Oryctolagus cuniculus: one gene and its partners. The protein of the gene in region 3 purifies or fractionates together with the protein of the main gene of each other region. This does not show direct contact. Links are inferred from orthologs where the notes say so. Each region holds a gene or a part of one and is shown on either strand. Other genes may lie near its edges.

Evidence for each region.
Region 1: the proteins of PTPN5 (region 3) and MAPK1 purify together in Homo sapiens (affinity purification with mass spectrometry; 4 studies listed by BioGRID and IntAct, with this or other methods). This does not show direct contact. The link is inferred for Oryctolagus cuniculus from reciprocal best matches to the Homo sapiens genes PTPN5 and MAPK1.
Region 2: the proteins of PTPN5 (region 3) and MAPK14 purify together in Homo sapiens (affinity purification with mass spectrometry; 3 studies listed by BioGRID and IntAct, with this or other methods). This does not show direct contact. The link is inferred for Oryctolagus cuniculus from reciprocal best matches to the Homo sapiens genes PTPN5 and MAPK14.
Region 4: the proteins of PTPN5 (region 3) and ATP5PO purify together in Homo sapiens (affinity purification with mass spectrometry; 3 studies listed by BioGRID and IntAct, with this or other methods). This does not show direct contact. The link is inferred for Oryctolagus cuniculus from reciprocal best matches to the Homo sapiens genes PTPN5 and ATP5PO.
Region 5: the proteins of PTPN5 (region 3) and MAPK3 purify together in Homo sapiens (affinity purification with mass spectrometry; 4 studies listed by BioGRID and IntAct, with this or other methods). This does not show direct contact. The link is inferred for Oryctolagus cuniculus from reciprocal best matches to the Homo sapiens genes PTPN5 and MAPK3.

The regions. Positions count from the first base shown.
Region 1 is NC_091452.1:28,976,181-28,980,589, forward strand, and holds the start of MAPK1 (mitogen-activated protein kinase 1), read left to right. Parts: upstream 1-1,571; 5' UTR 1,572-1,710; coding exon 1,711-1,829; intron 1,830-4,409. UniProt on the Homo sapiens protein: Serine/threonine kinase which acts as an essential component of the MAP kinase signal transduction pathway. MAPK1/ERK2 and MAPK3/ERK1 are the 2 MAPKs which play an important role in the MAPK/ERK cascade.
Region 2 is NC_091436.1:133,478,882-133,483,244, forward strand, and holds the start of MAPK14 (mitogen-activated protein kinase 14), read right to left. Parts: upstream 2,892-4,363; 5' UTR 2,529-2,891; coding exon 2,413-2,528; intron 1,821-2,412; exon of another isoform or gene 1,686-1,820; intron 1-1,685. UniProt on the Homo sapiens protein: Serine/threonine kinase which acts as an essential component of the MAP kinase signal transduction pathway.
Region 3 is NC_091432.1:47,657,792-47,662,033, reverse strand, and holds the start of PTPN5 (tyrosine-protein phosphatase non-receptor type 5), read right to left. Parts: upstream 2,949-4,242; 5' UTR 2,501-2,948; intron 1-2,500. UniProt on the Homo sapiens protein: May regulate the activity of several effector molecules involved in synaptic plasticity and neuronal cell survival, including MAPKs, Src family kinases and NMDA receptors.
Region 4 is NC_091435.1:11,126,928-11,130,013, forward strand, and holds the end of ATP5PO (ATP synthase subunit O, mitochondrial), read left to right. Parts: intron 1-1,293; coding exon 1,294-1,380; intron 1,381-2,325; coding exon 2,326-2,439; downstream 2,440-3,086. UniProt on the Homo sapiens protein: Subunit OSCP, of the mitochondrial membrane ATP synthase complex (F(1)F(0) ATP synthase or Complex V) that produces ATP from ADP in the presence of a proton gradient across the membrane which is generated by electron transport complexes of the respiratory chain.
Region 5 is NC_091450.1:7,472,676-7,477,125, reverse strand, and holds the start of MAPK3 (mitogen-activated protein kinase 3), read left to right. Parts: upstream 1-1,602; coding exon 1,603-1,775; intron 1,776-2,739; coding exon 2,740-2,922; intron 2,923-4,450.

The DNA of each region.
Region 1 (4,409 bases), on a different chromosome or scaffold from region 3:
TTTTTTTTTTTTTTTTTTTTTTTTTTTTTTGACAGGCAGAGTGGACAGTGAGAGAGAGAGACAGAGAGAAAGGTCTTCCTTTGCCGTTGGTTCACCCTCCAATGGCCGCCGCGGCCGGCGCGCTGCGGCCGGCGCACCGCGCTGATCCGATGGCAGGAGCCAGGAGCCAGGTGCTTTTCCTGGTCTCCTATGGGGTGCAGGGCCCAAGCACCTGGGCCATCCTCCACTGCACTCCCTGGCCACAGCAGAGGGCTGGCCTGGAAGAGGGGCAACCGGGACAGAATCCGGCGCCCCGACCGGGACTAGAACCCGGTGTGCCGGCGCCGCAAGGTGGAGGATTAGCCTACTGAGCCGCGGCGCCGGCCTCATCATCCTGTTTTTAAAAAGAGATGCAATGTCCTTTCAGAATCAAGAATAAGAATTAGGTGTTTTCAAAATTGGGTTCTGCTTCACGGACTAACATTTGAACTCACTTTTGGGTGTAGCACTTTTTTCCCCTTATGTAACACTATTTTTTTTCTCTCCCACAGGGCTTTTAACGCGCCAGACTGACTGGCTAATCTTTATTGATTTCCAGCCGTCTCGAATTAGCAGCTCTGAAGGCTATGAGGGGAGTCTGCCTTCTCACTTCCCTCTGCAGACGGCAAGGAAATGGTTCCGAGGCGGTGGCTGGCCCATCTTCCACCGCGTGGCCTGAGCTTCCTTGGCATCCGTCTGCTTCAAGATTGCAGTTTTTTAATTTTCAGCCTCTCATGTGTCTGTGACTATTGGTTTTAGCGATTCCACCCTGGTGTTTCCAGCTCAGTACGTTCTACGTCTCAAAGCTCATGTCCATCCGGCCTAACATGGGTCTCGGTCTCACAGTGGCAACTCGAGTCTTCCTCAGGTGTCTCAACCCACTCCTCTCTGCCCCTTACTCTGCTTGACATTTCTCCATAGAAAGTACCTCAGCCTGAGAAACCTCTCTCCGGAAGTTATCTTCTACGAGGGCGGATCTAAGGGCAGACCCACTCGGCCTCTCCTGTCTCACACGTTCTCAGTACTCAAATCTCTTCTTCGGTCTGGACCACGTATTCTGGTTCCTAACATAATCTCCACACCTCCTAAGTTGTTCAGAGCGTTTGGGCCCCAGAGGGCCCGAAGCCCACGTGTGCAGCGTCGTTCGTCTTCCCCCGCACTGCCCGAGCTCGCCGCCCGGCCCCAGCCCCGGCCCCTCAGGGTCAGCCCCGTGACGCCCCGTCTCCCCATTCCGCTCTCAGCGTCTCCTCAGCCGCCTCCCGCGCCGACTCACCAGCGAACGCACGTGACCGCGCCCTTCGGCGCCTCCTCCGCAGCCGCCGCCGCCGCCGCCGCCGCCGCCGCAGCGCTCCGCCCTGAGCTCGCCGCTTCCGCCGGCCCGCGCGGCCCCGCCCCCAGCCGCAGGCAGCCAATCCTCGAGCACGCTGCTCGGCCCCGCCCCGGCGCCCTGCTCGGCGCGCGCCCCTCCCTCCGCCCGCGGGCCCGCCCGTCAGTCAGTAAGTGAGACGGGCAGTCGAGGCGAGCGGACGTCGGCTCTCCGCTTCCCCGAAAGCGGCGCCGTCCTGCCTCTTTGGCGGTCAGCTGCGGCGGCTGCACGGACGGCGGCGCGGTCCCTTGGGGAAGCGCGGCGGGAGCGGAGCGGCGGCCGCGGAGCGTCGAGCCCAGCGCGGCGGCGGCGGCCCGGCAGCCAACATGGCGGCGGCGGCGGCGGCGGGCACGGGCCCGGAGATGGTCCGCGGGCAGGTGTTCGACGTGGGGCCGCGCTACACCAACCTCTCGTACATCGGCGAGGGCGCCTACGGCATGGTGTGGTGAGTGTCGGCGCCCGCCCCGCAGGCCTGGCCCGCTCCCCCGCCCGGGGCTGCAGCGGATGCGCCGCGGCCTCGCCCGCGTCTCGGCCTCCCGCGCAGCGGTCGACCCCAGTCCCGGGCTCCCTCGGGCAGGGCCCCGGCTCGAGGTTTAAGATGTCGCTGCTCGTGGCCGGTGGCCGGTCCCGGGCCGGGCCCTCGCTCGCCGCAGGGGGGCGGAGGCCGGGACCCGCGGACGCCCTGCACCGGATAGCCGCTGGGTTTCCAGCCCGGCTCCTCCACCCCACCCCCCAAGATTTCAGAAATGTAGATTGCAAGCCCAGATTCCCGATCCCCAGCCCAGGAGGGGAACGGAAGCATCCGTCGCGCCCCGGGGTGCTCGCGAAGCCGGGAATGCCGTCAGATGCATGGCCCTGGGCTTGGACGCGGTTGGACCCTGCGTGTGTGCGGAACGGCGGCCGGCTGTGCGTGAAGTGTCTGTCCCTCAGCGGTCGTTAGCTGGTGCTCGCCTGAGCAGGCCTTCCGAAAAAGCACCCAGGTCGGCAGTGTGGCTTGTATGAAGAATTCGTCTTGCAGTTTTTTTTTTTTTTTTAATGTTTAAACGGGCATGCATGTGTTACCGTGCGTTTCAGGAATAAGCAGCCGGCATCCCTCTTGGTTTATTAAATCTGCTTGCAGTTGGGCCCAATTTGCTCTTTTTTTTTTTTTTTTTTTCCTCTCCCTCTCTTCCCTCCTCTCAGGTGAGCTCCTAACCAGTATAGATGCATCCTGTCGTGTTGGCCCGAGGACCGAGGGTTTTGCTGTTGGTATTTTAGCGGTCAGTGTATACATTCCGCCTTTCGGGGACTTTTTTTGCACAGTCACACGCAAGGCTCCCTCGGAAGAGGCGCTTCGTGCAGAAGTAGATTCTCCTGCTTCTCAGTCTCATGAGTGTGTCTTTTCCTGATGAATGAAGTAACTGAGCACTAATTTGTGGACTGCTTCGTGCCCCTTACTGTGTGCCACATCCGTATTTTATTTGAACAGCCCCCCCACCCCACCCCAAAGGAAAAGCTGGTAATATCCCTCTGTTAGGTGCCAATTTTCTAAGGTCATAGAAGAAAGTGTCAGTCTTGAGATTGAAGCCTGAGATCTTTGTGGTACACCCAGCGTCCCTTAAAATAGCATCAGTGATAATTTCGGGATTTTTAGCCTCTTTTACTGCTGTGTGCGAGTCTGTTTAAGAAACGTATGCAAATCTGAGTGATGATGACTTCAGAAATGCCATGGAGCACTTGCTTTACCAATCACCTTGACTAGATAGAAGTAGTTGGAATTATTTTTGAATAATTGAATCCTGCATGTTTTCGTTTGCTTTAGGAGCGAATTGCTCCCCAGTATACAGCTGTGAAAATTAGCATGACTTCCCCCCACCCCCACCCCCACCCCCACCCCCACCCCAGCTAAGAAGTGAAAAGAGAAATTAGGTCAGGCCTGAAAGAAATTAGGCTCTGAAAAAGTACTGGAGGCCGGCGCCACGGCTCACTAGGCTAATCCTCCACCTGCGGTACCGGCACCCCAGGTTCTAGTCCCGGTCGGGGCACCGGATTCTGTCCCAGTTGCCCCTCTTCCAGGTCAACTCTCTGCTGTGGCCCGGGAGTGCAGTGGAGGATGGCCCAAGTGCTTGGGCCCTGCACCCCATGGGAGACCAGGAGAAGCACCTGGCTCCTGCCATCAGATCAGCGCGGTGCGCCGGCCGCGCCGGCCATTGGAGGGTGAACCAACGGCAAAAAGAAGACCTTTCTCTCTGTCTCTCTCTCTCACTGTCCACTCTGCCTGTCAAAAAATTAAAATAATTTAAAAAATAAAGAAAGTACTGCCCCTGGTATCCCTTCTGTGTCACACGTGTTATTGTTGTCATGCCTGCTGGTGAGTACACCAGTGACTATCTCATGAGAGGCTCAGGATTGCCCGTCATGCCCTTTGACACCCCTCCCCCCTTTAATTATATAAAATATGAACTGAAAAAAAATCTTTAGGATATGTCAGTTGAAAGCATTTTTTTCCCTTAGCTGATGAGATTTTTTTCTTTAATCTGAGGGTGATGTCGATTTAGAAGCTGTTTCTGTCACTGCTGTAGACTAATCCAACCTCTGTCTCCAGTTGAAGTGCTAACTTCTCTTGCTGTAATTTTCTCTTTTGAAATAAAACAAATATAATTGACATTTGAATCGTGGGCCCAGATTACAGATTATTGCAAGTTGGTGATACAACCTGCCGTTAATCTATACTGCACATTGTTTGGCTTTTGATAAATACAGTGCTGGGGTTATGGAGGACTTCGTGGTTAAATTTTTTATTTATTTATTTATTTTTTTTTTTGACAGGCAGAGTGGACAGTGAGAGAGAGAGAGAGACAGAGAGAAAGGTCTTCCTTTTTGCCATTGGTTCACCCTCCAATGGCTGCCGTGGCCGGCGCACCACGGCCGGTGCACTGCGCTAATCCGAAGCCAGGTGCCTCTCCTGGTCTCCCGTGGGGTGCAGGGCCCAAGCACTTGGGCCATCCTCCACTGCACTCCCGGGCCACAGCAGAGAGCTGGCCTG
Region 2 (4,363 bases), on a different chromosome or scaffold from region 3:
AAGTGCTTGGGCCCCTTCACCCACATGGGAGACCAGGATGAAGTTCCAGGTGCCTGACTTCAGCCTAACCCAGCCCTGGTTGTTACAGCCATTTGAGGAGTGAACCAGGGAGAAGCTTTCTCTCTCTCTCTCTCCCTCTAACTCTGCCTTTCAAATACATAATTTTTTTTAAAAAAAATGGAAAATGGAGGGGGTGGCACTGTGGTGCAGTAGGTTAAATCTCCATATGGGTGCCAGTTTGAGTCCCGGCAGTTTGATTCTCGGCTGCTCCTCTTCCGATCCAGTTCTCTGTTGAGGCCTGGGAAAGCAGTAGAAAATGGCTCAATTTTTAAGCACCTGTACTCATGTGGGAGATCTAGAAGAAGCTCCTGGCTCCTGGCTTCAGATTGGCCCACCTCCAGCGGTTGTGACCATTTGGGGAGTGAACTGGCGGATTGAAGACCTATCTCTCCATCTCTCCCTTTCAACTGCCTGTAACTCTACCTCTCAAATAAATAAATAAAACCTTAAAAAGAATGAAAAATGGAGGTATATTAATGAGCCCATAAATTTTTTTTTCAAAGATTTTATTTGAGTGATAGAGTTACAGACAGAGAGAAGAGAGACATAGAGAAAGGTCTTTCATCTGCTGTAAAGGCCAGAGCTGGGCTGATTTGAAGCCAGGAGCCAGGAGTCTCCTCTGGATCTCCCACCTGGGTGCAGGGGCCCAAGGACTTGGGCCATCTTCCATTGCTTTCCCAGGCCACAGTAGAGAGCTGGATCAGAAGTGGAGCCACCAGGACTCAAGTCTGCGCACATGTGGGATAACAGCACCACAGCGCTGGCCACAGAGTCCTTAAATTTTAAAGGAGCAATTATCTAAATACACCTCTGAAAATTAGCAAATCAATAACTAGTATATATACTAACTAAAAAAGCTTCAAATTCCTTGAAAAGGTTAACTGCCACAGCGTAAAAGTGGGAGAAAGATGTCAGCCACGGTGACACCTGCAGCATTACTCAAGCGGCTTGAACTAGAAAATGCAATACGATCTGTTGCTGGACACAATTGCACAATCTCAATTACCCAGAAGATTCTACCAAACAGGAAATTCATGATGTGATTTTAAGAAACACGGGAATCATATTTAAAGATGAACAAATCCAAAAGCCTGGAATTTGTTCCGAACAAAACAAAACAAAAAAAGCATTTTCCTAGCTCCTTTTCCACCCATGCATGCCCAGGAATTGATAAAACAGGAAAAAGCTTACTATGAAGCCGGACACTTAGTTTCAGATCAGGAGCTCTCAAAAGATACTAAGTATAAAATACAGTGTCTAAGGCCTTGGAAGTTAGAGAAGTCAGTGAAATACTTCAGGTCTGGAAATGTCCTGGTGTCAACTTAAATACAGGCACCTTGTAAAGGACAGCTGGCCGGTGTCTAACTTTCTTCTCCTGGAAGTTCCCGATCCTAACGAAAACCAAGTGTATCTCAGGCCATAGCCACAGATAAGGTCTCTGCACACTCTCCAAGGGGCCTTAAAAATACACGATTCACAGGAATTATCTCAACTTTCAAATATTCACAGTAGCTCCCTGCACCGTGAGCGACTTTTGGGTTTCGAGGGCACGCGGCGGAGGGATCCGAGGCTCCCCTGCTCCCCGTGAGAACCCTGCTTCGTCAAACAATACTTTAAATGAGCAGTGGTATGTGACTAATCAGCCAGGCCGCCAGTTTCTCAAGCGGCAGCCACCACCGCCGCCCTCCACGGAAAGGAAACACGCTCTCGACCGAATCGGAAACACACCACTCAAGCTGGCACAGGGCTCGCCGAGATAAAGCCGATATTTTAAGCCCTATGGGTCGCTGCGAATTCAAAAAGAACGCTTCTCCAGACGGGATTTCCACAGAGGTTTGCAAAAAAGAAGGAAAGAAAGAAAAGCCTGGAGGGGGCTACCTTCGTCGTCAGTTTTGTTCAGACCACCCGATCTCCCAACCGGGTTCTGCTTTCTCCCGCAGCTCCCCGGGTCGTCCGCGCCCCCGGGACGGGTGCACCCCCGGGAGAGGGTCCTTCTGCAAAGTGTTCGTAGGGACCCCCCTCCCCAGCTCCCCGCAGAACAGCCGCCCCTCCCCCAGGGCCTGCCCCCCGGGGGGGAGCAGCGCTCAGCGAAACGAAAGCGCAGGGCGTGCGCCAGGAGCGAGCTCCAGCCAGCACCACCACCTACCGCCCACAGCGGACCTGCGCCTGCACGCAATGGACCACCGCCCTGGGCGTGCAGGCTGCGGGATGCAGGGGGTGCAGGGACAGCCATGCTCTCCCTCGGGGGAAATTCCTGCCGCTGGGCGCATAGCGGAGCCGCGGGGGCAGGCCTGGCCCTCGGGCACCAGGGGCCACCCTACCCACCGCGGCCCCGGGCCTAGCAACACTCACCACACGGAGCCATAGGCGCCAGAGCCCACCGGGGACAGATTCTGGTAACGCTCGGGCACCTCCCAGATTGTCTTGTTCAGCTCCTGCCGATAGAACGTGGGCCTCTCCTGAGACATTTTCCAGCGACGGCCGCGGGGCGAGGAGGTGGCCCTGAGGTGCCCCCGCCTGCACCCACGCCCGCTCCCCGGCCCTCGTCGCCCGCCCAGGCGGGCGGGGACCTCGCGCTGGCCGCCGCGCAGGTGCGGCTGCTGAGACCCCCGCAGACACCCGCGCGTGCGGCCCCTGTCAGCTGCAGCTGCTGGACGCGCCTCAGGGACCGAGGCGAGCCCGGCAAAGGGCAGGAGCGCGCTCCGAGGCTGAGGGCTGCGCCCGCCGGGGTCTCCCTGCACCCTCTCCCGGGCCGGGCCGACGGCGGGCCGTGCCGCTGGACTCCCGCTCCAGTTGCAGCGCCAGCTGAGGCTCCAGTGGTCGCAGTTCCAGAGCCAGCGAACAGGAGCCGCCTGCCGTCCTCTCGCGAGATCAGCTCCCGGGACTCTCCGCGAGCCGAGATTTTACCCAATATGGAACCTCCCCGCGGGAGGGGGTTCGGGAGGAGAGAGCGCCGGAGGAGCAGTTCTCGCGAGAAGAGAGCAACAGCTGGAGCCCAGAGGCAGGAACTCCCGGGGACTGTTCTTCGGGGCGCCGAGGCGGACGGCTAAGGCGGGGATGCTCGCGCACCACAGGCCGCGCGCGCCCCACTGTGGTTGGTGGGGCTGTAGTGCCTGACCACTGCGGAGAGCGACGGGGACGAGTAAGCGTGTCGGGAAAAGAGCCAACAGATCTTGGAACTGCGGCCGAGCACCTGCTCGGTGGAACTCCGCCGTTTCCAAGAAATACCGGCGTCAAAAACTGGTTCCAGTCAGAAGGCCGTCGCATTCCCGTGTGCTCATGGACAGATGGCTAACCCTCCGGGACGCTGACGAAATCGGCCCCAAAGACAAATATTAGCCCCGCTGGAAGCCGAGACTTTGCACCCGAACGGGTGCAAAGGTCGCCCCGGGACCCTCAGGGGCCTCTGCGGGGGTCGGGGCCGTACAGGTGGCTCTGATGTGTCTTAAAAGCCGTGGCCCCGAAGCTTATAAACCGACTTCGGCCCCAAGAGCAGTCCTGAGAAGAGGACTTGGAGATTTTAAGTGGGGGCTCTCCCAGGAAGGCGGAGGAGCAGGGAGTGCGCTTGTGGCAATGTCGCTTTTAGGCAAGCCGGTAGGCCCTGCTCAGTTGCAAGAGAACTCCGGTCCTCCGTTCCCACCTCATAGGGACAAGAAAATACCCGCGAGTGGGCAAGTGTTGTAACCCCAGGCCCATACCTACTGGTGCTGGCCCGGCCCGTGCTAACGCCTGCTACCCTGAGCGCAAGGATGGGAGTCTATCTTGTCCTCCGATCCTTTGAGGGCCACCCCAGGACAGGGGCCGAGGGCTCCCACGGCCGTGTTCTCCTTCCTCGCCCCCGCTCTCGTTGCCCGCCCGCCCCGAACGCCCGCGGGTTCGGCCGCAACGGCTCGGGAACCGCCGGCGTCCGGGTCGGCAGCGCTGCCAGCCAGGCCAGAGCCCTGGGAGACCCGAGCCGCCCGCCGCACTCCCGCCTCGGGCGGGGAAACAGGTGAGCTGCTGCCAGGGCCGCCCGGGAGGCGGGGCTGCAGGCAGAGAGTCGCGGGTCGCGGGCCGGGCTGGGTCCGCCGCCCGCAGCGGGGTCCCGCACGTCGCGGGCGCTCGCTCGGTCAATATTGGTAGAGTGAGTGGCTGACGACGGTGCCTGGAAGCTTATCTCCCGCCTCTGCTTTGAACGGCCGCGTGGAACGGCACCGGCAAGAGGCAGTTCGTGCCCTTTGCAAGCGGACTCCTTCCAGACGCCCTGGAGTTGGCTCGCCCGCCCCGTCGGTCTCGTCACTTTATGCTCCCTGACTGAACCCCT
Region 3 (4,242 bases):
TCTGTCTGCTCAAGCCATTTCCATTCCTTGAAACACTCCTCCTTCCTTCCAGTGCACACATCTTTCAGACCTAGCTCCAGTGTACCTACCGTCTCCAAGGCACCACTCCCGATCCTCCATGAGAATCAAATCCTCCTGGCTCAACTCCTTCCAAGGGGTCATCTGCCTGTCTTTTAGGGTGAGCCTCGAGAAAGGACAGGCAATACGATGTTGAGGAAAGAGTTCAGAATCTGGACTCAGACCTTCTTAGCTGGAAGCCCATCCCTCTGATTCTGATACCCTTAAGGTATGCACCCTGAGATAAAGTCTCAGCCTCAACTTCCCCATCTGAAAAATGGGGTTGTAATACTATTGATAGCATGGGGGTGTTAAGAAGAATAAGTGACAGAGTGTAAGAAAAGCTTTGATACCACATAAAGATTAATTATTCAATCAATCATGCCAAGGTGCCAAAAAACTTAAAAACAAAAGTGCTGCTCCTTCCAGGGAGGTCTGCCGGGTGTCTCAGGCAGTCTGGGCAGTAAGTCCAGGAATAGGTCAGTGGGGGAGGGACTTGTTTGAGGGAGGAGGACTTTGAGGTCCTAAAATTGCACATTCTTGGGTGATCTGAAGAAGGGAAGAAGTGCAGGCCATAGGCATCAAGCTAGGGCCCTAATGGTATTAACAGCCACCAATCCCCGAGCTTTCTCTAGGCCATGGTCAGGCACTGTAAAAACACTCTCCATGCATCATCTCCTTGAGTCAGAAATTACTGCCTCACAGAGTGGGACAGGAAAACTGGGCGCACACCAGTTAGATAAAAAAGGGCTTCCCTGCATGGCAGAGACCCAGGGCCCAGCACTCACTATGAAGTCAGTGGAAATGGCGCTTCCTGGAGCAGAGTCCTGCAGGGACGCACGGGCTAGGGTGTCAGCAGCGGCTGCTGGGGGCTTGGCATGTGGTCACCAAGTCTCTGCTCCATGCTCTGCTGCTTTCCCCACTCAAGGGAGAAGTTCTTGAGACAAGCACCCCAGACCCTCACCGACGGAACACTGCCCTCCGGGCCAGCGATCCCAAGCAGCATCCAGCTCTGCTCCAACTCTGGCAACACAGTTGCCAGGGCCACGTCTCTGCACCAGGCATGGGGCTGAGCTCTGAGGGCTCGCAGCTGCCCCGGAGGCATCACCTGCAACCCCAGCTTCCCCCGGCAGCTTTGTCAGCAATACCCAGAGGCTACACTTAACAGATACCAAGAGGAAGAAGTGGCCGGCCAACAAGGACTTGGGGACATCCAGACTGGCGTGACGAAAGGGGTCTGGTTCAGTTAGAAAGACTGGGCCCTTGAGGAGGAGGGGAGAGTGACCAGGAGGGCATCAGGCAGATGAAGAGGGTGAATCTTTGGATGCCACATCATCTGGTCTCAGTGAGGACACTCCAGCTCAATGGCTCCTGGGAAAAATCTCATCTCTGGTCCAGGATTGCCTCACTCTCTCAATCTAAGTCCCAAACCTGGAGTGGCTGCACCTAAGACGGTTCTTCTTTGAGGCTGAATGAGGCAAATCAAAGGCCTTTTTTTAAAAAAAAAAAAAAAAAAAAGAGAGAGAGAGGGAGAGAAAAGCAAATGAATGGCACCTGGCTCCAGGTGGGGGCAGGGCTGGAATTACACTGTGGTAAATTCTGGGCTTGTGGGGTTTCAATGGGGATCAGATCTAACTGTAGACCTGTGCGCGCGGGAGGGGGGGGGGGGCTGTGAGTATGAAAGCCAGCGACCACAATGCAGGCTTTGTGACTAATTCTCCTGTGACCTTGGTTAAGCCACCTCATCTGGCCTCAGTTTCTCTATATGTGAAATAAAGGGACGAAATGGGTTCCTGAGGTTTTTAAGGTCCTGGGCCCTCTCAGCCACGTGATCCTGGAAAAACGTAAGCCCCCCAAGGCTCCTGGGCATTCTCCCGGGTTTTGCAGGAGCCTGGGCCTTCCCCAGGAAAAAAAGCGGCATGCTGGGGGAGGGGGACGCACAGGGCTTTTATTTTGGGAGTGGGTGGGATGCGAGTGGCCAAAGCTAAAGGGTTGGGGGAGGCGAAGCAATGGTGGTGGCGGCGGCGGGGGAGCTGCGGCTTGGGGAGGCCAGCAGGCTAGCGATTTCTAGGTCCCCCCTCCCCATCCCGGGGTTCAGACTCGAGAGGCGATGCAGCCCAGAGCCGCGCACTACCCAGGGCCGCAGAGGCTCGGACCCTGGACCGTCACGCTAGTCCCTCCCTGGAACAGCGCAAGAGCTTCGTGGGGAGTGGCTGCCGCTCCCTCCGGGCTTCCAGGGGCCGGGCCACCTCTCCAGCGTGGGGGGCCCCTCCCCCAGTCCGGGGGCGCCGGGAACCCCGTGGGGGCGTGGCGGGGGCGGACGCCGGCTCCAAGCCCCGGAGGGCTGGAGGAGGTCTCAGCTGCCAGGCTACCCTAGGAGGATCCCGCGCCCCCCGCCTTCGGGCGCCCCACACAAAGGCGCCGACGGAGGCGCAGCACTTACCGGCCAGAGCGGGCTCCGGGCGCCGGCGAGCTGGCGGGCGAGCTGGCGGGCAGGCTGGCGGGAGGATGTGCGCGCGCGGGTGCTTGTGTGTCTGCGTGTGTGTGTGTGTGTGTGTCCTTGTGTGTGCGCGAGAGTGTGTGTGTGTGAGAGAGACAGGGGCCGAGCTCTGTGCGTCTGCGTGTGCGGGGGCGTCCGTCCGTCTGTCCGTCCCGCGCTCCGTGCGCGCTCCCTCGCCCGTCCGCCCCACCAAATGCGCTTCAGCTGCGGAGTCGCTGGCGCAGCCGCGGGGTCGGTTCCGCACCCCCCAGCCCCGGCTCCGCCCCGCCTCCGGGCGGGCTTGCGCCGCTCCCCGGGAATTGCGCAGGGCCGGCGGGGCTGGGGGCGGGGAGCTCCAGCAGCGCCTGGGGGGCAAGGGGAGCCGGATCACCGACCCTAACCCCTGAATTCGTCTCAGCCCCACCTCCACCCCCGCAACTCTGTGCGGAGTCCTCGCAGGCGCCGCCCCCACGCCAAGGTTGCCTGGACCGGGAGGGCGGGGGCATGGGAGCACCGCATCCATTTCATTCATGATTTTCTCCTCCCTGGAGCCCCGGGTCGGGGCTGTGCGGCTACGGCAACAGCCAGAGGGATCCCCGCCTGGCCGTGCGCACCCAACCTGGAGGGGGACAGACTGGCAGACAGACTGGGGTAAGGGCCAGTGAGACAAAGGGTCAGAACGGGGGTGTGGGGGGGGGCGGTGTGCGGAGGGGTGCTGTGACATTCCCTGCACCATGCCCACAGCTGCGCACGCCGAGCGGGTCGGACACCGGGGCGCACGCAGTGCGGGGCATCCAAGACCCGTTCCGGGGCTCGGAGAAGGCGAATTTCCGCATTTCTCCCTGTCCAGTCCCTGGGGAGTGAGAGCGAGGCGGCTACCTCGCTCCCTCCACGGACTCTCGCCTTCCTGACGTGCGTCACGAGGAGGGGCGGGGCGCGCACCTGCCCTGGCTTTCTCCTGGGCACCAAGGGCTGGCAGGTGCAGGGAGCTGCCTATGCACCCCCCAATTCAACATTGCTCCCACTGGCACCCCGCTGGCTCGAGGTTCCCAAGACTCCTTCTCTACGGGGGCTCCTTGGGGCTTTGAGCAGCACACAGAGAGGGACCCTAAGCTCCATTTTTACAGCGGGACATGCAGGCAAGCCCCCGCCACGGCTGCCACCCTGGTTCCAGCCACTGGCCTCCTTAGCCTGGATTTCCTCAATGGCCTCTTTACTGGTCTCCCAGCGGCCACCCTCGGCCCCCTGCAGTTGGGTCTTCACACAGCAGTCAGAGCGATCCTTTCAAAACAAGTCCGATGGTGTTTTTTCCTTCTCTGGAAATCCTGCAATGGCTTTCCATTTCATCCAAGTGGGAGCTGAGCCTCTACAATGACCTGCGAGGCTCTGCATGAGCTGGCTTCCTTTTAGCTCTCAAACCTCACTTCCTATCACTCTGTCACTTCCCGGAGCTCTGGCCATCCTGGCATTTTTAATATATCACCAACACCAACATGGCACCACCCTGTGGTCTCAGGACCTTTGCACCATTAGTGTCTGCCCAGAAACTCTTTCGCCAGATAGTCTCATGGCTGGCTCCTTTACTGCTTCAAAATGTGTCTCTCAAAAGGAGATCTTCTGTGGCCATCTGATTTCTACTTAGAATTGCTGGCCTGTGGGTTGGTGTTTGGTACAATGGTAAAGGCTACACTTAGGAAGCCTGCACA
Region 4 (3,086 bases), on a different chromosome or scaffold from region 3:
TGAGCGGTCCCTAGTCCTTCGTCCTTTTGGGTGGTGAGTGGGAGGCATCAGTGGACAGCCCGGTGAGGTTGCCGACTTGTCGTAGAGCCTCATTTCATAATTCACTGGTGACCACGAGACGATCCGCGGGAGGTGGGAGTGACTGTCCTCACTTTACAGACGCTGGAATGGAGTCGCTTGCCCCGGGCTTGCGCAAGGCGGGACAGGATTCAGACCCGGGCCTCTCTGTCTCTGCCTGCAACCCTATCCTAGCCACTAGACCACCAGGGACACACGATATCTGCATTCCTTGCTGCACCCCGTCTCCTCTCCAGAGACAGTTCTGTGGTCTTAGCTGCGTGTTTCCTTGCTGGCGCCCCTGCGGCATAAGCATCGGCGCAGGGTGCTGGGGTTACCTGGAGTCCCCAGCCCCGCCTCATCTAGACTCGTGGTTCCAGCGTGGCCCAAGGTGGCTTATTTTTTGCAGGAGCTTCTTAGAACCAACTGTTAGCTCTGTAAACTTCCGGGAGTTGGGGGGGGGAAGCACACCCAATCAGTCACTGAGGACGCGGGCTTTGGAAGTGCACGCGCTGAGCGGCCTCAGGCAAGTCCCCAGCCACCCGGACGGCCGGTTCCTGTGTGGTGTGGGCATACAGTCGCTGTCCTGACGAAGGCACTCGGGTGCCAGTGCCCCTGGTCCTGGGCTGGAGGAGGCAAAGCCTAGGCGGAGCGCGTTTTCATGGAGCCCCGACCGACTCCCCGCCACCACCCGGCAGACGACGCTGTTAGATCAGTTGCTGGCGTGGGCAGCCTTTCCCGTGCTCAGCTAACCAACCAGGAGCGAGTGTCGGGGCTGAGCGGAGAGGACGCAGCGTGCAGGACAGAGCCAGCCCCAGGGTCTCCCCGAGCGGTTCTCGCGGCAGGGTGGCGGCGGGCCGGAGCTTCAGGGGGCCAGGGAGCCGTGGACCTGACTGGGAAGCCGAAGACTAGAGCCAGGTTAAGCAGCGCGTCATCCCCTCGGGGAGCCCGGAGGAGCGCCATGGCCCCAGTGCAGGCAGACGTGCGTCAGCAGGCCGTGGCGGCCTCGGGGGCTCCTCTCAGGACAGGCGGGAGTGCGTGCGTGGGCACTGGTGCCGCAGCCGAGTTGCCCGGCTGTGCTCAGGAGGCGGGGCCCCTCTGACCTGACCAGCAGCACAGGGGCAGTGGGTGTGCGTCCCCACCCGGGGCCTGGGTGAGACGGGGTTCGCGAGCCGGGCATGGCTCTGTGCCGTCGCGTCTCCTTCCTTGGTTGAAGGCTGCTGTCCCACGTTTCAGCCTCTAGAGGAAGCCACTCTCTCCGAGCTGAAGACGGTCCTGAAGAGCTTCCTCAGCCAAGGCCAGGTGCTGAAGCTGGAGGTCAAGGTAGGTCTTCAGTTGTCCGCTGTCTGGGACCTTTTCCAGGTGACTCGAGACGTAAAATGGCTTGAGGGAGTCTTAGAGAACAATTTTTTAAAGAAAGCTTTTATTTAATAAATATAAATTTCCTAGGTACAGCTTTCGGATTCTAGCGGTTCTTCCCCCATACCCGCCCTTCCGCCCCCACTCCCGTCCCACCTCCTGCTCTCCCATCCCATTCTTCACTAGGATTCATTTTTAATTACACAGAAGACCAACTCTGTACTAAGTAAAGACTTCAACAGTTTGCACCCACACAGACACACAAAGTATAAAGTACTGTTTGAGTAGTAGTTTTACCATTAATTCTCATAGTGCAACTCATTAAGGACAGAGATCCTACATGGGGAGTAGGTGCACAGCGACTCCTGTTGTTGATTTAGCAATTGACACTCTTATTTATGATGTCAGTAATCACCCGAGGCTCTTGTCATGAGCTGCCAAGGCTATGGAAGCCTCTTGAGTGCACAAACTCCGACCACAGACAAGGCCATAGTCAAAGTGGAAGTTCTCCCTTCAGAGAAAGGTACCTCCTTCTTTGATGGCCCCTTGTTTTCACTGGGATCTCACTCACAGAGATCTTTCATTTAGGTTGGTTTTTTTGTTTGTTTGTTTGTTTGTTTTTTGCCACAGTGTCTTGGCTTTCCAAGCCTGAGAAACTTATGGGCTTTTTAGCCGGATCTGAATGCTGCAAGGGCTGATTCTGAGGCCAGAGTGTAGCGAACATTAAATCAGATTCTGAAGAATGAATGTTAACTTAGTTGTCAGTGTAGACGACCTGCTTCCGGGCAGCTTCGCGCTGGCCTTTCTCCAGAAGCGGTTGTGCTGTGTGCTTAGCACTCTCTCGCCTGCCCGCGTGGCTGCTGAGCCAAGGCCGTGCACTGTCATACTCTGACGTGTTTCCTCCCCTAGACGGACCCGTCGATCATGGGTGGGATGATTGTCCGCATTGGAGAGAAGTACGTCGATATGTCTGCAAAAACCAAGATTCAGAAGCTGAGCAAGGCCATGCGAGAGATTATGTGAGCCGTGGTTTTCTGTCGGTGGAAACCCTGGCGCTTGGAGCAACAATAAAGCGCTTTCTGAACAGCCCGTGTCGCTGACCGTCTCCGCGGAGCCCAGGGCCTTGGTCTGTGTCTGTCTTCCAGTAGCCCCTGGTGTGCAGGTCCTGTTGGCCGCAGAGTGGGTCAGTGCGGGTTATTCTTGGGAATTGGGTAAACACGCATGCTGCACCCGCTCCCTCAACAAAGTGCAGCTGGGCCTTAGGGCGGGTGCAACTCCGCATCCCTGGCGACCACCAGGCGGCTCTTGCCCTGCCTGCTCTCGCTGAAACGCCCTTGACCCTGAACTAACACAGCTGCCAGTCGGCTGCTCTCCGCCTTCATCTCCGGTAGGCTTTGCGACAGCCTTGTGACCGCCCACCGCATCACCGCCTTCACACGGGAGAGCACGAGTATGCCCAGGTTCGCAGGCCTCGAGCTGCTGGGTCAGGGTCAGGGGTCAGGCCGTGGCATGCTGGTCCACTGTCACTCACGCTGCGTCCTGTCCTGATGAAGCTGGGGGCAGAGGAATCTTAGGCACGTCCTGTGCCCCTGTGACTTGAGATGCTGCCAGAGAAATCAAGTTCCCCAGGCAGCAGCTTTGGGCACCCACTCCCTGGTCGCTCTCCAAGA
Region 5 (4,450 bases), on a different chromosome or scaffold from region 3:
CCGTTGATGGGAAGCCTCCCGGGGCGCAGGCTCGCCCATCTCTGGGGGGGGCCTTCTTCCATGAGCACAGCCTGGATTCCGAGAGAGGGTGAGCAGACACGGCTCCTGCCTGAGTCAGAGACACCACGTCACGCCCCAGCTGCGTCATTGTGTCGCTGACCTCACCCAAGTTAACCCAGCTCTCAGATTCTCCAGCTGCAAAATCTGACTCTGGTTCAAATCTCCACTGCTCCTCTTCCGACCCAGCTCCCTGCTGTGGCCTGGGAAAGCAATAGAAGATGGTCCAAGTGCTTGGGTCCCTGCACTCACATGGGAGACCTGGAAGAAGCTCCTGGCTTCCACCTGGCCCAGCTCTGGCCATTGGGGCCATTTGAGGCGTGAAGCAGTGGATGGAAGATCTCTCTCTGTGTGTAACTCTGCCTTTCAAATAAAAAGGAAATATATTTTTAAAATTTGATTCATTCATCAAAAAGAAAATTTTTTTAATGTTTCAGTGCCAGGCATGGGGGTGGGAGGTGGGGATCCAGTGAGGAACAAGATTGACCTTGGCCCCTCTCAGCCTACTGAGAGAATCAGGAAGATGACAACCCTCTTGTGAGTTCAATTTTGCCAAATCCAACAAGCTGGATTTTTCTTTTTAAGATTAATTGATTAATTACTTTAAAAGAGTTACAGAGAAGGAGAGGCAGAGAGAGAGAAAGTCAATCTTCCATCTCCTGATTCAGTCCCCAAATGGCCCCAATAACCAGAGCTGGGCCAGGCGGGAGCCAGGAGACTCATCTGGATGGGCCCACATGGACGCAGGGGCCCAAGCACTTTGGCTGTCTTTGGCTGCTTTCTCAGGCCATTAGCAGGGAGCGGGATTGGAAGTGGAGCAGCCGAGATGCATATCGGATGCACCTGCTATGTCACAGCGCCGCCCCAGATTCTTTCCTTCTTCAAGTGTATTTTAACGAAACCTGCCCACCTGGCACGCACGTGGGGGCAACAGCTGGCCCTGCTGCAGCTGCTGGGAGGGCCAGGGCCTGGACCCCACGCCGGCAGCAGCACCTCGGGCTTCGGCCTCACCCTTAAACGGCAGGTGGGTCTCCACGCGGCTCTGATTTCAAGTACACTCCCTCGGCAGCCGAGCAGAGCTGGCTCAAGGAGGCCAAACCACCAAGGGCCGAGAGGACCCCCAGGGGGCTCCCACAGGAGCAGCTCTGGTCCCAGAAGGCCAGGCACTCCGGGGTGGGGGGCGTCCGGCCCCAGCACACCTTGGCCGGGTGGCCCTGGGGAAGTCACCCGCCAGCTGCCTAGAAATCGAGGGGGTATGGACCGCGCCTACAGCCGCCCGGCGCGCCCGCTCCCAGCACACGGAAGCCCGCAGCGACCAAGCACCGCTGCCCGGCGGCGGGAAAGCCGGACGCGCGCGGGGAGGGCCACGTGACGTCCGCGGGCGCGCGCCCCGGCTCCGCGGCGCGCGCAGGGCGCGGGGGCGCGGGGGCGCGCGGGGGCGGCGCGCGGGGGCGGGGCCTGGCGCGCGCGGCCCCGCGGGCGGGAAGGGGCGGGGCCTCGGGCGGGGCCGCCGTGGGGAGGGCGGGCGGGAGGGGAGGAGTGGAGATGGCGGCGGCGGCGGCGGCTCAGGGGGGCGGGGGCGGGGAGCCCCGGGGAGCCGATGGGGTCGGCCCGGGGGTCCCCGGGGAAGTGGAGGTCGTGAAGGGGCAGCCGTTCGACGTGGGCCCACGCTACACGCAGCTGCAGTACATCGGCGAGGGCGCGTACGGCATGGTCAGGTGAGGGGGCGTTCCGGGGGAGGGGGCGGCCTCAAGGGAGGGGGCAACCCCGGAGGAGGGGGCGGAGGAGGGCTGCAGGGGGCTCGTTGGGCCGTGGAGACTTGGAGTGGCCTGTAGAACCTGGGCACTCTGGAGGCTTGGTGGAGTATGCCCGGGATAGGAGCCCTGGGGTGCTTTCTGGGGGAGGGGGCGCTGCCCATGTTCCTAGGGGAGGGGGCTTGGAGGCTTTGAACGGGAGCCCTCCGCCCCGAAGGGAGCAGCGGTATTTGGGTGTCTGGGGTTGAGGGAGCGGTGGCCCTAGAGACCCGCGTGGGGCGACGAGAATCAGTAGTCTTGGTGAACGAGGACCCTCTTTTGAGAGAGGGGACCTTAGGGTGCCTTGGAGTCCCCAAGCGAGGCTGTGCCCAGGAGTGGAGCGGCACAGGCAGGGCTCTGGGTGGGGCGAGGCTTCGGGCCTCCGGGCCTGAGGAGAGGTGGGGAGTGCCTGCTTGCCTGCATCTTGGGGAGGGGTCTGGGAGCTGGCCCAGCCCTACTGTGTGCTTTGGGCCTTTGCACCGACCGGAAGTTGCTCTGCTGTCCTCGGCCCAGACCCGCCCCTCGGTCCCGCTCCCTGGCCCTGTGGTGGGTTGAGGCAGCCCATGGTGGGGAGGGAGGCCCGGGCTTGGGCAGAATGGAAGGGGGTCAAGCAGAGGGGAAGTCAGCGAGTGGCCAGTCTTCCTCTGTTTGTGAAGTCACCGAAAGGCGGCCTGGCTGGTCCCCAGCTTTCTCCCTGGAGAGCCCAGGCCTTCACAGCAGGAAGGAACGAGCATTGTTTATAACTTGGCCAGAGCCCTCTCCTGCTCTGTCCCCTCCCTCCCTGCCCCTGGCCTGGGTGGGGCCCGCTGGGCCTGGTTCCCGCTCCCCCCCCCCCATCACCACCACCATCATGGCCACACCAGCAGCGACGTCTCTCTGGGCCTCTCAGCTCAGCCTATGACCACGTGCGCAAGACCCGCGTGGCCATCAAGAAGATCAGTCCCTTCGAACACCAGACCTACTGCCAGCGCACGCTGAGGGAGATCCAGATCCTGCTACGCTTCTCCCATGAGAACGTCATCGGCATCCGGGACATTCTTCGGGCTCCCACCCTGGAAGCCATGAGGGATGTGTATCCTACCCCTGGGCCTCCAGAGCTGGGCTCCCCCCTGCCCTGCCACCCTCCCAAATGAAGGCAGTGACAGGCCAGAGGCCCCTCCCCCCCTGACCTGCGGCTGTCAGGCAGGGGGACCTTGGACAGGTCCCTTCTTTGCCCCAAGCCTCCATGGGGAGCCTGGGCGCCAAGGTCTCTTTGGGCTCTTTGTTTTCTGCTGTCTGCAGTTATGTGACCTGCTCTGCCCACGGTCACTTCTTGCTGAACAGACTGGTGATTCTTTCTCTCTGGATCCCCAGACTGGAAAGACAGCAGGGAGGAAGAAAACTGCTTTTTCTTGAGGGCCTACTGCGTGTCAGGTGCTACCCCTGCCTTTGGGTCCCAAGGATGAGGGGACTGAGGCCCGGAACAGCCCCCAAGCAGGTGTCTCTGTGGCTGCCTCACCCCTCCCCCACGCGGGAGCTGGTCCTTATCTTTCTCTGGGACTTCCTGCTCAGAGCCTCGCCCTGGTCACCCGCGCACCTGCCCCTTGCCCAGGGAGGGACAGCTTAGCCTTAATGCCCTCCCCCAAGAGTGCTTTTCTTGCTCCTTGTCCACTTCCGGCCTGGCTCAACCTGGCCTTGCGACACACGTCGCCTCCTCGCCACCCACCCATACCACCTGCTGGTCCCAGTCCAGTCCTCCATCCAAGGGTGGGGATTTGGGTGCCATGGCCAGAGCCCTGCCACAGACCAGGGACGGGAGATTTCCATACTCACCCAGCTTGCCGTGTGACCTGGGGCAAGTCACTGCATTTCCCTTTGAGAGAACACAGGAGATCTAGGCCGGGCCAGATGTTCTCTGAGCAGGTGTGCTGTGGGGGGTGTCTCCTCTCTCATTGTCCTCCCACAAACAGGCAGGCATTTTATTTTCATGCAAAAAAATCAAAATACTTGGATAATTTTTTTTTAAGATTTATTTATTTGGAAGGCAGAATTAGAGAGAGAGAGAGGTCTTCTATCTGCTGGTTCACTCCCCAAATGGCCACAATGACCAGGGCTGGGCCAGGCTGGGCCAAGAGCCAGGAGCTTCCTCTGGGTCTCCCACATGGGTACAGGGGCCCAACCTTTTGGGCCATCTTCTACTGCTGTCTCAGGCACGTTAACAGGGAGCTGGATCAGAGGTGGAGCAGCCGGGACCCGAACCAGTGCCCGTATGGGATGCTGGTGTTGCAGGCGGCAGCATTACCCGCTATGCCACAGCGCCAGCCCCCCAGGAGCTTTTTGAAGACCCCTTGAATTAGTGGACTTTGACGGGGTTTTTTGCACCAGAATCAATTTCAGTGATTTTTTTTTTTAAGTCCCCAGTGGAGATTTGAGGCATTACTGGGTGGACCCTGGAGCTGTCACTCTGAACCGGCATGTTCTCCGGCCCTGGACAGCTTGTTAGTAGCCCCATTTCCCAGGGCCGCAGGAGAGAATGCTCGGGGTCACCTGCCGGGGGTGTGAGAGGCCCTGTGCCCTGCTGCTGAGTTCAGCCCGGCTCTTGACAGGGGTTAGCAGATCTG